Linked DNA regions of Mus musculus. The protein of the gene in region 1 interacts with the protein of each later gene in a pairwise test. Links are inferred from orthologs where the notes say so. Each region holds a gene or a part of one and is shown in the gene's direction. Other genes may lie near its edges.

Region 1 (7,150 bases):
CATAATATATTATATCTACCACATATTATTATAATCTGTTGTTTGTGTTTATTATGTGTTTAGGGTTTTACAGATGGTTATTATTCATAGCAAGGCCATATTTTTTTTTTCAATTTAAGGTTTTACTCTGCAGAAATCAGTCTAGCACTGAATTATCTTCATGAGCGAGGGATAATTTATAGAGATTTGAAGTTGGACAATGTACTGCTAGACTCTGAAGGACACATTAAACTCACTGACTACGGCATGTGTAAGGTGAGAGACCCCCTGGATGGCTTGTAACCTGTCAGCTAAGTAACTTCACACTTAGATGGGAAGAGATCACTGCCTTGTTGAGGATGTCTGAGAGTTCTGGTCTGAAGACAGGTGTACTCTCTGGCCATTTGGCCACGTGGAGAACTCCATGTCTTCTGTGATGTGTGTTATAAATGGGCCACTTTTTAAAAATTGGTTGTAGCTTTTTTGTTATACTTTTGAAGAAAATTTGGAAATAACATTACCTACAGTCCTGTTACGTTAACACAGTATTTGCATGCCACCTTCCAAGCTTTTACCATTTATCAGACCTGAACCTACTTTCACATTTTTCCTAGGCATCTTTTATATTTAACTTTTAAATCTCTGACATACAATGTGACATTCAATCAAGTAAGCATTTTACTTTGTCTCAGAATATGTCTACTAATCTCGCTATTTTACTCCTTTGGCAACAGTGTTTTACTTAGAGGTTTGATCTTTTCCCACAAAATGTCTAGAGAACTATTCTACTTATTAACCCTGTCCTAACAAAACATGTGCGAGTGTGTGAGTGTGCGCACTGCATCCCCATCCATCAGGAGGAGGTACCGTAAACACACACATGGTAATGAGGATTTAATGTCACCCTGCACACCTTATATCAGGTAGTAAAGTCATGCAGTGTATACAACTCAAGACCGTTTTCCTGTCATGCACCTTAAGTCATTCTCTTTGTAACTAGGGAAGAGGGTTAAGTCACTGGACCCCCTGCATGCCTCATTTGTATTCACGATGCCTTTTTGCTCTGTCATGGTTTTCCATAGTGTTCTTCTCTCTGGTTTTAAAACTCATCACAATAATAATGGATTCTTACAAGTTCCAAGGGCAAATGAAAAGCATGCAGAGTATTAATCTGCAAGTTAGAACAGTGTTTTGGATTTTTTTAGTCACAATCTGAATGTTAGTTAAAATTACAGGTAGCTTGAGGAGGCAGAGGCATGGTGACACACCTCTATAGGGTGAAGCAGGGTGATCATGAGCTCAAGGCCAGCGTGGACTGGACAGCAAGAGTTTGCCCACCGAGCCATCTTCCCAGCCTGGGAGGAACCTTTCTTTCATGACTTCTGTCCTTCCCTTGTCCCCCAAACATGTATGTCCATATTTATACTGTGATGTGAGTATATGGGACACATTTGGTGGTTGGCTTGGTTTTATTTTGTCTTTGTTTTGGTAGGTGTTTCTGTTTGGCTTGGTTTTATTCCTTAGAAACAAAATATTGGTGTGTAGCTGAGATTGACCCTGAATTAACAATCCTCCTGTTTCAGCCTTCCAAGTGCTGGGATTACACGTGGACCACCATACTTTTTTAAGTCGTCTAAAAATCACTGTTTATTAGTTATTGGTGTATAGGGTATGTTTTCTGAATGTTGAAACCTCATAATCAAAGACCATGAAATTTTCCTACTGTGTTCATTTTTATTCTTTTTTAGAAAATGTTAGTAGGTATACAGAAACTTATATTTGTTACAGCTCTTGATGGGTGTTCCATTTATTGTTGGGTTTTCTCTACTTAGTTTATTTGTGCATTGTTCACCTTCCTACAGCTATTAAAATATCAAAGCAGAAGACACAGTCGGTAGGAAAGAAAACATCACAATGTCAACAGTCATGAAGTAGTCACTGTAGTCACATGATCTCTGTTTTCATAGTAAATTTTAATAAATGTTATTTTAAAAGCAGTTTTATGTTAACTGAATTGACTTTAGCAACGTCTAAAGTGAATACGTTTTCTTTTACTCTGTTTAGTAGTGATCACTGTTCCTAGTGACGCTGTTCAGGTTTAACATATTGCATATACATGCTGAGTTTAGACACATGAAATGGAAGAGGTGAATGTAAAATGGTGTTGTCTCTTATCTTTTCCCCGTCTTCTCCTTTCCTTTTTCCCCATGAAAGGAAGGATTGCGGCCTGGAGACACAACCAGCACTTTCTGCGGCACTCCCAATTACATTGCTCCAGAGATCTTAAGAGGAGAAGATTATGGTAATAAATTAATAGGTGGTATTTTAGGTGTTACTATAATTGGTACCAACTACAACATAAATAGTATAGCATTTTAATATTCACTAATATATAAGCCTTCCTTAGTTCAGTTAACCTACGTGGAGACCCTCAGATTCTGAAACTGGACCCATCCATAAAAGGTTTGACATTTGGGAGAATTACATTTAAATAGTATTTTACTAGTGACAAGAACTAAACAGTGGCAAGAACTTGGTAAGCAGTTCACTCTAAATTCCCTCACAAGCCTTCTGAGGTACATGTTGACTTATTTGACAAAGAAGGGAAGCAATGTACAGAAAAGCTTAAATTATATGCCTGGGTCACAAAAGCCAAGGCAGTGCCCAGGTATGCAGGTACGTATTAACTCATCGGCTATGTGAATCCAGGGTCACGAACTTCAGAAGATTGTTCAGATTCAGGGGATATTTCCCTTAGTGTTCTAAAAGTTCCTAAAGGCTGGGGGCCTGATAGGTACCAGGAAATACCTACCTTCCTTCCTTCCTTCCTTCCTTCCTTCTCTTTACAGAGTTAGGGTGTCTCTACATAACCCTGTCTGCCCTGGAACTTGCTCTGTAAACAAGGTTGGCCTCTAACTCAGTTCCTCCTGCCTCTGCCTCCTTAGTGCTGGGATTTAAAGTATGGATCTTTGGCGGCCATTACTTTTCTTCACATTTATTTTTATTAGTTCTTTTGAGACTTTCCTACAATATATTTTGATCACATCTACCCTTTCCTGTTCCTCCTGTATGCCCCCACTGCCAACTTCCCTAATCCAGCTTTGTCTCCTCCTCCTTTTTACCCAGCTAGTCCATGCTGCCCTTGTGTTCTTGGATCTGTGGACTTCCACGGGAGCATGGTCAACTTGCAGGGAACAACTCTTTTAGATAAAAGTTCCTCTCCTGTAGCTATCACTTGCCATAGCCCCGCCTGTCCACCTCGCTTACCATGCTGGGATTTGGTCTGACTTGAATTTACACAGGGCTTGTGCATGCTATCCCAGTTTTTGTGAGCTTGTGTGTACAGCTGCCCTACTATGTCTGGAGACATGTTTTCTTATGTTCACCCTCCACCTCTGGTTGTTACAGTCTTCCCCCTTTCTACAATGTCTCCGTATGCTTGGGAGAAGGAACATATATGTTGGGAGAAATATTAAAAAATGAACCGGCATGTTCCCATTCTTGTGCCTCTGCCTCAGCGGCCTGACCAGCAAAAATATCTCGTGGAGACTCTCTGACCTGGAGTTCCCAAAACATCTTCACCCAGCTCGCTAAGTTCCCACTGGCGGATATCTACCATGACAGCCCTAAGCTTCAATCCTCCAAGGCCTGTGTAGTACACCTCAGGCAAACCTGTGCTTTGCCACCAGAAGAGCCGATGCTTGAAGGAAAACGCAACACAAACTTAGTTCAGAAACAATTGCTGGCACAACAACAAAAATCCTAACTTGTAAGCCTTATTAAATCTAAATCCTCCAGTGGCAAAATCCTGACAGATCTGCCATTGAATCTGGGAGACACTTGTAATTACATCTTGTCCTCATGGTATCCCTGTCCAAAAAGACCTAACTCTTTCCTGCTTCCTCTTCTTCCTCCATCCAACTCGGAAGTCCCTCCTACTCGCCCAGTGATTGGCTCCTTTAATCATTAGGGGGTTGGTTCACAAGAAGTCACCTGAGTATGACTCACTCCTCCCAGGAGAGTGGAATTAGCATCAACATACAAACAGCACCAGGCTCATCCACACACATACAGATAGTCATTTTAGGGTTGCTTGGACCAAGTATCTCTGTAGTTTTTAGTGCCTACCATATTATTTATACTCTAATTAGACTTTGCTTTTCCATTATGTTTACATTTCCATCTCATGATAAAATAAAATTTCTGGGAGGCTGGAGAGATGGCTCAGTGGTTAAGAGCACTGACTGCTCTTCCAGAGGTCCTGAGTTCAGTTCCCAGCAACCACTCACAACCATCTCTAATGGGATCTGATGCTCTCTTCTGGTGTGTCTGAAGACAGCTACAATATACTCAAACACATAAAATAAATAAATAAAATCTTTAAAAAAATAAAAAATAAATTTCTGACTGCTGGATGTTCACACATGCAGAGAAGGTTTATTACTTTAAACTTCTCTCTAAAGGCTTCAGCGTTGACTGGTGGGCTCTTGGAGTGCTTATGTTTGAGATGATGGCGGGAAGGTCTCCGTTTGATATCGTTGGGAGCTCTGACAATCCTGACCAAAACACAGAGGATTATCTATTCCAAGGTAATTTGCAATACTTCGGGGAAATTCTGTGAATAACCTAGAGCAAAGTAAGGGCTCTCAAATTAGTATTCTCAGTTAAAAACAAGGAGAGTAATTTGGACACACACCTGACTTCATGATAGTTTGGAGAATTTTTAGATAGTCCCTTCCCACTTCTCTAGCCTGTAGCTTCGTCTGTAATTTCCTTCCCACACTCAATTCATAACAAAGCATTTAAATGTGTCGTCATACATGCTAGAACAGGGAACTCCTGGGGAGATGGAGGCATCTGTTAGAGACTAATCTCTGCACATGAGCCCCAGACTTAGTGCCCGGGTTCAAGAAAAGTGGAGTGTGATTGTGATCCAAGAGATCACAGAGCTTTGCTAAGGCCTCCTCAGGGAGGGAGTGTCATGGTGAGGAGTGCTGACAGTCAACAGAGCAGAGGGAGGAGGCCAAGCACAGGACCTCTACCAGAAAGTGTGCAGCAGCCACAGAATTCTGCACCTAATAGTTAAGACCCTCACAGGACATGAGGAAGTGTTCCATAGAATAAGGAACCAGAGTGCCTGCCATTAAGACTATAGAAAGAGAATGCAAAGTGCTAATGAGCTACTGTTTCCTGCCTGTGCCCCTGACAGAGATTTGAGATTGAGAGTAACTGCCTGGTACTGATGAAGGTTCGGAGCAGTGGGAGGTCTTCGGGACTGCTCGTGGGGGTTGAAGTTGACAGGAGCTTTGCAGAATAATTTCACATTTCCCAGTACAGTTCTGTGTTACATATATATGCAAACACTTTACAGTACTAACTTTTGTACCTCAGAAGAGCCCCGTGAAGCAGGGATTGTTTTTATTGAGGCACACTAAGTTGGTAAAAATAAACCAGGCTTGTAAATAATAAATGCAGTACTAAGGCAAGGGGCCAGCTCTGAGAAGGAGAGCCAAAGGCAATGCATGAAGTGTTGCACTTATGCAGATGATGTATATTCTGCTAGGATGCCTTAAATAGCTTGGGATTTAAAGAAAAAACTTAGATTCAAGCCACATAAACACTAAAAATGATACTGTGATTCTTATCTTTTTAAGTCATTTTGGAAAAGCAGATCCGCATCCCGCGTTCTCTGTCTGTAAAAGCAGCAAGTGTACTGAAGAGTTTTCTCAACAAGGTAGGGATGATGTGGACACTCTTCTGTGCTTTCTTCCCTGAGGAAGCAGAGCGCCTTGTCGGCGGAGGCTCAGGCGCTGGGATGTTTCAGAGCAGGGATATGTAACTTTCCAGTTAGAACTGGAATTTTGTTTCATAACCAGACACAGGGTCAAATCCTGACCTGATTATCCTTGTCATGTGGCCAATATCATTGATTTACCTCCAGCTTGACCTTTAAATATAAATGATACACACATATGCTCTCCTCAGTGAAGGAAAATGGAGTCTGTAATTTGTTATAACTGCATTTTTAGCTGTGTTTCTGTATCTTTAGCCATAAAACCGATTTCTCACCAAGTGGCCAAGAATGTTCTCTATCCATTTCATAATAACTCTGTATTTAGATAAAATTCAGAAGAAATGGAATGAGATCCTAAAATGTAAGCATCATTCAGTTGCTTGTGGAAATTGGTAAGCCAGAAGCATTTAGGTTCTAAGATTGTGAATTTGGGATTCATAAAATTTATTCCAAATAAATGAAGGTATAAAATGGGTTACCTCTGTGGGCACATAAGGATGAAATTAATAAAATTGGAAAATTGCACCTAGTGAAGATGGCTATGTTTTTATCATGTGTATGTGTGTGTGGGTGTTGTGCCGGTGTGTAATCTGTAGCACATGCGTCACTGGTGCCCAGGAAGGGTAGAAGAGGGCACTGGATCTCCCGCACCTGGAGGTAGACATGGTTGTAAGCAGCTGTGGGTGTTAGGAATCCAACCTGAATCCTCAGGAAGGAGCCATCTCTCTGGCCCCTGCTACAATGTCTTAAATATCTTGGAATTTAAAGAAAAAACTGAAAGCTTTAAGCCACATAAAAGCTAAAAATGATACTGATTCTTATCGTTTTCATCGTTTTGGAAAAGCAGATTTGCAGATATTTACACGAGGGAGGGTTTAAACTGGGACGCTTCTGCACTATGAAAAGTGAAGTTGAGAGATGCTAATGTATAAAATAAAACGCCTTTCACCCAGAAGAAAACATTGTAATCCATAGAGCAAAAGCTAAGTTCCAGCCTCTGCCTCGGTCCAGTGATCAGATAATTCTGTGTCATTGTCTTAGACAAATTAGGATTTGTTGCTGCAGAGGCTTTAACGATGAGCTAAACATAAGTGTGCTGTAACGTCCAGAGGTTGCTGTAATTATTAAATTATTATGCTGCCCTTGTTTTTCCACATTCTTTAGCAAAGAGTGATGAAGTACTCTACCATTTTAAAACAGGGTCTTATGTAGCCTAGGCTTGCATTCTAAGATTCTAAGATTCTAAGATTCTGGGTATGCCCCACCAGGGCTGGTGACGTGGTGAGTTGATAAGAGCCAGGAGGAAACCTTACCTGCTGTGACCTCTGAATTACTCACTTGGCTCTGGACCATGCTTTCTAGAAATAGCTAGACATT
Region 2 (7,888 bases), on another chromosome or scaffold:
CCTCAGGGGCCAGTCCTCCATTGCTGTTCACCTTTTTCTGAGATGAACGGGGCTAGGCGGACTGGCCAGTGCGCAGGCGCCAGGATCCTCCTGTCCCTGCCTTCCTGGGGCTGGAATTACACACGTGTACCACCAGGACTTGATTTCTCAGGGATCCTCTGTCCCTGTCTCCCTGGGGCTGGAATTACACACGTGTACCACCAGGACTTGATTTCTCAGGAATCCTCCATCCCTGTCTCCCTGGGGCTGGAATCACAAAGTTTACCACCAGGACTTGATTTCTTTCCCCATAGCTTCTGGGGATGGAGCTCAGAGCCCTGTGCTTCTACAACAAGCACTTGACCAACTAAGCCATGCCTGGACTGTTTTTTGGTTTTGTGTGTGTGTGTGTGTGTGTGTGTGTGTGTGTGTGTTTATATTTATCTTGTGGGTGTGCATATGCTAAGGCATTTGTGTGGAGGTCAGAGGATAACTTGTGGGAGTCTGTTTCTGGGTTCCAGGGTCCGAACTCGGGTTGTCAGACTGTGTAGTGTCAGATCAGTCATTTGGCTGGCTTGGAACTCACACATCTGTCTACCTCTGGCTGGAAGTTCGGCAGCGTGCACCACCAAATGAGGTCCAGCCCTTATTTTTAATGACAGAGTCTCGATCTGTTGCCCAGATTGCCCTGAATGTAGGCAATCCACCTGCCTCACCCTCCTGAGTGCTGGGATTACAAGTGTTAAGCCATCAAGCCAGGCTGAGTGTTTATAACTTAGAAGACCATGATGAAGTGAAACTGTAACCCTTGCCAAGGGGTCTCGGGGGTGGGGGTGGGATGGCGGTGTGTGGGTGCAGAGCTCTGCTGACCTGAGCCAGACTCACCATCTCAGGAGCCTGTAATTTACAGAGCCGGGTCAGGCTGTTAACTGACTTATCTCTCAACCCACTGAACACTAATTCTCAGAGCTTCTCGGGGGGGTGGGGGGGTGGGGGGGGCTTGTCAGTCCGGATCAGCTCTGGTTTGAGGATTTGGGGGCAGGGAGAGGAGATGGGGAGAACGGAGGTTACAAGTCAGTCTCTAAACCAAAGAGGCAGGAGCCAAGAGCTAATCCACACTGTTTCTCTGGTCTTCAGGCTTCTTAAGCCAAGCTGACAACAAGGCTCCCCTCCCCCGCAGCACCTTTATCAAAGGCAAACTATTTTCTACATTCCCTTCTTACACAGCCCTGGTTTGCAGCAGATCTGCCGGAGAGATCCAGGAAGCTCTGGCCTGGCCCTCCCTCCCTTCGAGAAAGGAAAGTTCAGGTAGTGAGGGATGCCACACCCGGGGGGAGGGGAGGGCGGATGTGACGGCAGCTTCAGGAATGCAGGGCCCACGCAGGTGCATTGGCACCCATGAGCTTCCTCCTCAAAGCAGCTGATAAAGGAGTCTCGATAGCAGTAATAGCAGCCACCCAACCATCATCCACACAGACTTGGGGCCACAGGTCCACAGTTCTCAAGGTGTGACCCGCTCAGGGCAGAGGCAGGAGAAAGGTGAGATTGGAGGTCCTGTGCTTTCTGGCACATCGGTTTTCAGAGTGGCCCACGGGTCCACTGGCACCTGGAAACCTCGCTAGGGGAATTTCCAAAGTCATATTGTTCTCATGAAGGCGTCGCATCTCACCTTCCTTGTCTCAGAAGCAGATGATGGAGTTTTCCGCAAAAGACAGGACAAATGATGACATCATCTTTACCTGCTTGGAATATGTATTGTGCATTGTTTTAAACGCGTTTCTGGTTTAGTTCCAATACAATAAACACTCATAGGCATTCACAAACTTGGAGGTTCCCTGTAATGTTTAGTTTCAGGGGTCCTGGGACCCAAAGAGCTGTAACTGCTGGGCTGATGCTGTTGACCAGGGTACTGGGCCTGTGGCTGCCCCTCAAAACCACAAATCTTCTTTCCACCACACAGGTATGGGTTGGGAAGGCAGTGTGAGATTCAGCTTGAGGGACAGTCTCTCTCTCTCTCTCCAGGACTTCCACCCCAGAATGGCCAGGGAAACCTTAAAATCGCCTACCAACAGCTGGTGAAGAGATTCGTTCAAGGGGAAAGGGGCTTCTTATCTTTGAAGCTACAGGGTGTAGCCTGGAGAAGCCACAGATTCGGCTCCTCTTGTCCCCAAATACATACATGAGCGCATGACAAGAGCCTGGCTCTCCCAGGGTGAACAAACAACTGAGCAAAGCCAGGGTATCCCCGCCACTGGGTAGCTTTCATTGTACATAGAGTAACGCTGTTTCAAGTGCACGTGCACGAAGGAAAATAGAAAAGCTGAACCCCATCACAGCGGAAAGATGTTAGATTCTGTGGTCCAAGGGGAGAGTGGGCAGGAGTGAAGGCCCCTGATCAGCTAGCTCTTCAGCCCTCTGTGGGGTAGGAGGGTCGTCGAGGGAGACTTTCACTTTTCTCCTAGCACCAGCAAGACCAATGGGTAAACAAAACAGAGAGAGAGGCAGCAGCCTCAGTGTGGGGCGCTCAGAGATTAGGAATTGGTGTTGTTACCCCAGGACACAGCTCGGTCACTGGGGGAACAGAACACAGCCCAGAGGCTGGCGTTGGTGCAAACAACAAACGGGCAAGAAATTGCTCCACAGAGAGACGACTTCAGCCTCAGAGGGCGGATGGTGAGGCCCGCAGGGAGCCAGGGCCTGTGGGGACCATCGCAGGCCTCAGCTCCCTGGTCCTCTCCTGATACCCAGGGCACCCTCGGGACAGGGAAGATCTAGAGCAGTGGTTCTCAACCTTCCTAATGCTGTGACCTCGCATTCTGATGACCTCCAGCCATAAAATGATTTTCCTAGCTACTTAACTGTAATTTTGCTACTGTTATGAATCGCAATGTAAATATCTGTGTTTTAGGTCTCAGGTGACCCCGGAGGAAGAGTCGTCCTGGGGTCAAGAGCCCACAGGTTGAGAAGCGCTGATTGAGACGAAAGTGCAGTTTCCAGGCCTAGACATCCCCCCACCCCCGACCCCCAAGCTTCTCCCTCTAATGACTGCTGCAGAGGCGGGAAAACTTGAAACTCTTTCCACAATAGTTTCAGGGGGCCGCCAAGAAGCCGCAGCATGGGGGGGGGCTCAGGCCGAAGAGGGGCCCCAGATGCCCAGTCACCCCACATCATCACGGCAAGGGAACGGCTGTACACACATTCCAAGCAGGTGACTAGGGCGCGTTAAAGATACGGGCGCTCCCGACCCGACCCAGCCGGCGAAAACGCTCGCGCGCATGCGCAAAATACACACCCTCCTGAACGGCAGTCCAGGTGCGCTCGCGCTTCCGGCCGGCCTTCCCCATCGCCTTCTCGGGGCGGAAACTCTACAGCCGGCGCATGCGTCCTACTGCTCCCCCGGCTCAATCCAGAGAGGCCCCAGAGCTTCAGGTGATCCCGCCCCTCCCTCGCAAGGCAGGACCAATCGCGAGGGCTGTGGGCGGGGCTTCCCAACCACGAGGCCCGCCCACGGGCCGCGCGAGCCCCGCAGGCTGCGTGCCGATTGGCTGACGCCGCGGGCGCAGGTGCGCGCTTCCCATTGGGTGTGGGCGGAGCGCAAGCCGCGCGCCGAAGCTGCAGGTGAGCGCGCGCACGTGCCGCGGCCGCGGCCCAGCTCGGTGCACGAGCGCGCGGGCGCGCGTCCGCGGGGGAGGCAGCGGATAAGGGAGGCTGCGGCGGCTGTAGGGCTGTGCTCCGCCCTCTCCTCACCGCCGCGGCCGCCGCCGCCCCCGAGCCTCGCTGGGAGGGACCGGTGTCCCCGCCTGCTGCACTGGCAGTCCGACCCTCAGGCCGCCGCGGAGCAGCCGGCACTGCGCTGCGGGGAGGACCTCAGCAGGTGCCGTGACGAGGCGCCGTGCGGCGCTTCGAGTCCCGAGCCCGCGCTCCGCGGCCCCGCCGCCCGCGCTCCCGAGGGCCGGCCCCCGACGAGGCCGCCGGCGGCCGGGCACTCAGCATGAACCGCGGCCACCGGCACGGGGCGAGCAGCGGCTGCCTGGGCACCATGGAGGTGAAGAGCAAGGTGCGCGGCCGGGCGGGGCAACGGGGGCGAGGGCCGGTGGGATGGTCGACGCGGGGCTGCCCCGTGAGGACGCAGAGTGGCGGGATGGTGGACCTCGGCTGCCCCTGTGGGAACGCGGGCGGAGGGCGAGCTGCTGGCCGAAGCACGTAGGAGAGAAACTTGGTGGAGCGCGGCGATGTGAGGCGTTTGCGTCTGCTCCGCAGCACAGCCCCTGTTTTCTATCCTTCATATTCCCGCCTTGCTTTTAGGGTGGGATGAGGATCGCTCCAGTGCAAGGTGATGGGATAACTTTGGGGGATCCCTTCACCCCGGGCACGAGCCAGAGGCTTTCGGAACACCTTGTTGTCTTCTCGTATAACCTTTTATTGGGGCTCGGGGGTACATCGAGTGGAGGAGAGCTCTTTTTCCAGCCCTAACTTTGGTATGCGTCTAATCTATGAAATTAGCGCTATCGCCTTACTCTGGTGCTGCGCTTGACAATTTGAGACGCTGCTGTTTTCATTCCGACTCTTCATTCGGAATGCTTTCCCCCTTGGCGGATCTGCCAGTCTTCTGTTAGTGACTTCAGTGTCGGTGGGATTCCTCAATCCCAAGGCCGGGTGAGCAGAGTAGCCCGTGGGGATTAGCTGGAGAATGCCGTCTTCCAAAAGGGGCTTTTCAGATGGAATCTGAAGGTGATCCGTAGCCACCGGAACATGTCGCCAAGCTTCTCCTGACTTTGAACGGCCAGGAGGGGCAGGATTATGTAGCCTGGTTCTCGGAGAGTTCTGAAATGATAAGAAACCCTGCTTTTAAAGGGTGTGACTTCCCCCAAACTCGGCTGTAGGACCAGGTCTTGCCGATGGCTTTTTACTGAGCAACTTGTAAAACGGTGGTAGAGGGCATTGCTGACCGTGAGAATTTAGAGCAAAATTGTGGCTAGACACACAGAAGGAGCGGTGTATCGAACACCCACTGCAAAAATAAGAAGCGTGGTGGTTAAGGGACCCCTGGGGGAATGTCGGTCCGGGAAGTGGGGTGAGTGAGGAAAGCTACCTGGAGCCTTTGTGGTTCCTGGGCTTGAGAGCAAAGTTCTGTAACTAAGAATCACAGATCTACATTTGCTTTTAATTTGGGGGGATTTTTGTTTGTTTGTTTTCTTTTTGTTTTTTTGCTTTGTTGTTTTGTTTGTAATCTCCTCTAACTATTGAGACTAGAACTAGAGAGTGCCAGACACAGTCTTAATGGAGGAGTGGGAGGAATTTATATATCAGATAGGAACTAGATTGAAACACAGGTCTGTGTAATAATAACAGGACTGTTGGTGTTAGAGAGATGGCACTGCATTTATGAATGTACGCTGCTCTTGCAGGACACCCAAGCTCAGTTCGCCGCACCCCTGCCGAGCAACACACACCTGTAACTTTCTTTAAATTTACTATTTTACATGTATAAATGCCTGCCTGTATGTCTGTGTACCACCTGAATGCCTGGTGCTCTAGGAAGCCAGAATCCCAGAGGGAGTCAAGTCGGATCCCCTGGACCTGAAGTTAAAATAGTGAGCTACCTTGTGGGCGCTGACCCAAACCCAGAGCCTCTGAGTGAGCTGTGTTGCATTTAACCACCGAGCCTTCTCTCCAGTTCCAGAACATCTGGTGCTCTGGCTTCCCATGGCACCGACACATGGCATACATAGACGGAGCTGCCGGCATACACATAATTGTTTTAGAGTAAAACTGTATGATAGTTTAAGGAACACACCCTTCCTGGCTGGGTTCTGCACAACAGCAAATAAAGTGACTTGTTAGTATAGGGAGATGACTGACTCCAGAAATGTCTGTCTTTTTCTCTAACCATTTGTAGCTGTCAACACACAAGCTTTCTCCTGGCATCTCTTTGTAGTTTGGCTTGTGGGACTTGAGGTGAGGAAAGAAAACCACTTGTGATGCTGCATAATACCAACACTCAGTTTTATGGTCCTGATCTCGGTAGTGAGCCTTTACATGTTTTTTTAATCATTAAAAAAATGAGTAGAGATTCTAGGTGTGCCAATAAGTTAGATAGGAGTGGGTCTCTGGTGGAAGGAAACCAAGCTCTTGTGGACTGGAATTTCAAGCTTTTTGTTTTCCTTTTTCATCTACTGATTTTTGAATATTTTACATAGTTCTGTCCAAGGTGTGTGGTTTCTATTTCAGCTGCCATACCATACTTCTAGTGTGAGCCCTCCTCTAAACAGAAGCAGGGCAGTCAGAAGATACACTCGGGAAATGCTGCCATGCTGTGTGTCTGTTAACAGACAGACAGACAGCATAGGCCAGAGTTTGTTCACCCTGCTTTGTGGGGTTTTGAGATGGCTCCCCACCCCCACCCTTTCCCCTCCTTCCATGTAGCCCTGACTGTCCTAGAGAACATTTATGTGTGTGCATGAATGCAGGTGCCAACAGAGTCCAGAAGAGGGCGTCAGCTCAATTGACTGAAATTACAGGTGCTTGTGAGCTACCAGACATGGGTGGAAACTGAACTTGGGTCCTCTGGAAGAGCACTGCATGTTCTTTTGTTGTAGTAGTTGTAGTTGTTGTTGTTTTAAAGTTTTATTTATTATTTATATGAGTACATTGTAGCTGTCTTCAGACACACCAGAAGAGGGCATCAGATTCCATTACAGATGGTTGTGAGCCACCATGTGGTTTCTGGGAATTGAACTCAGGACCTCTGGAAGAGCAGTCAGTACTCTTAACCACTGAGCCATCTCTCCAGCCCCCGTTGTTGTTGTTTTTTAAGACAGGGTCTCTACATAGCCCTGGCTGTTCTAAAACTCATTATGTAGACCAGGCTGGTCTTGAACTCAGAGATCCGGCTGCCTCTGTTGGGAGTAAAGTCATGTGTTGCTAGTCCTACCTTAGCTCAGGTTTGTAAAAAAAATAATTTCAGTTTATGCTATGTGAATAGTAAAAACTCCCTTAAATTTCCACTATGTTCTGATCATTTACTTGGCATGATGGGCGTGTGGGGATTCGCAGGTTCCGCAGTGGGAGTGGAGAGGTCAGAGGACAGCCCTAGGAAGTTGCTTCTCACCACCACGTGGGTCTTGGGGATTGGATTCAGGCTCTGAGGCTTGGCAGCAAGCACTTACCTACTGAACCATCTGCTGGTCCAGGGTTAGTTCTGTAATATCACAGTTAGGCGATCCTAACCAGAACTGGAGAGTGTGTAGGTCATAGGTAGGCTCTCCTTCATAGCAACAGTAGCGTCAGCCAGGGACGGCACACACCTTTAACCCCAGAATGTAGACGCAGAGGCAGGAGGATTTCTGAGTTCCAGGTCTGCCAGGACTACATAGAGAAACCCTGTCTATCTTGAAAAGAGAAAGAAAGAAAGAAACAATAGTGTCCGCTTTATCGTCTTTGCTCTGGGAAGGGAGCCGTGGTACAGATAGGAGGAATAATGGAGAGTGTAAATAAGGTTCTAGTTAGAGGTGTGATGCCAGCAGCTGGGTGATTTCTTTGGTAACTGATTTATCTTCCTGATTGTTTCTCCAGAAAGTTCTCTGTAATCATTTTGATGTCCTTAGGTAACCTTGGTCTCAAGGGCAGGGGCTACTACAGTGGAGCTTGACCGCCATACTCGGGCCTGGTTGCATCTCCACCACAGCCAAGACACTGGCCCCACAGCCTCGAAACGGTCTGGGGACACACCACTTCCTAATTGCTACTCATGGGCAAACACAATATCAACTGTACTGCGCGCACACACACACACACACACACACACACACCGTGATCCCAGCTGTCAGTGCAAGCTCAAGGGCAGCTAAGGCGACACAGGGAGAGCCTACAAACAAACCAGAAGTAGGGATGGAAGGTGCCTCAGTGG

What was found. The genes of interacting proteins can lie anywhere in the genome.
Region 2: the proteins of Prkci (region 1) and Pard6b interact in binary tests that used the Homo sapiens proteins (3 or more experiments, as listed by UniProt). The link is inferred for Mus musculus from reciprocal best matches to the Homo sapiens genes PRKCI and PARD6B.

Annotation. Positions count from the first base shown.
Region 1 is NC_000069.6:31,039,249-31,046,398, forward strand, and holds part of Prkci (protein kinase C iota type), read left to right. Parts: intron 1-119; coding exon 120-255; intron 256-2,193; coding exon 2,194-2,281; intron 2,282-4,442; coding exon 4,443-4,568; intron 4,569-5,633; coding exon 5,634-5,713; intron 5,714-7,150.
Region 2 is NC_000068.7:168,077,324-168,085,211, forward strand, and holds the start of Pard6b (partitioning defective 6 homolog beta), read left to right. Parts: upstream 1-3,680; 5' UTR 3,681-3,970; coding exon 3,971-4,036; intron 4,037-7,888. UniProt on the Homo sapiens protein: Adapter protein involved in asymmetrical cell division and cell polarization processes. Probably involved in formation of epithelial tight junctions.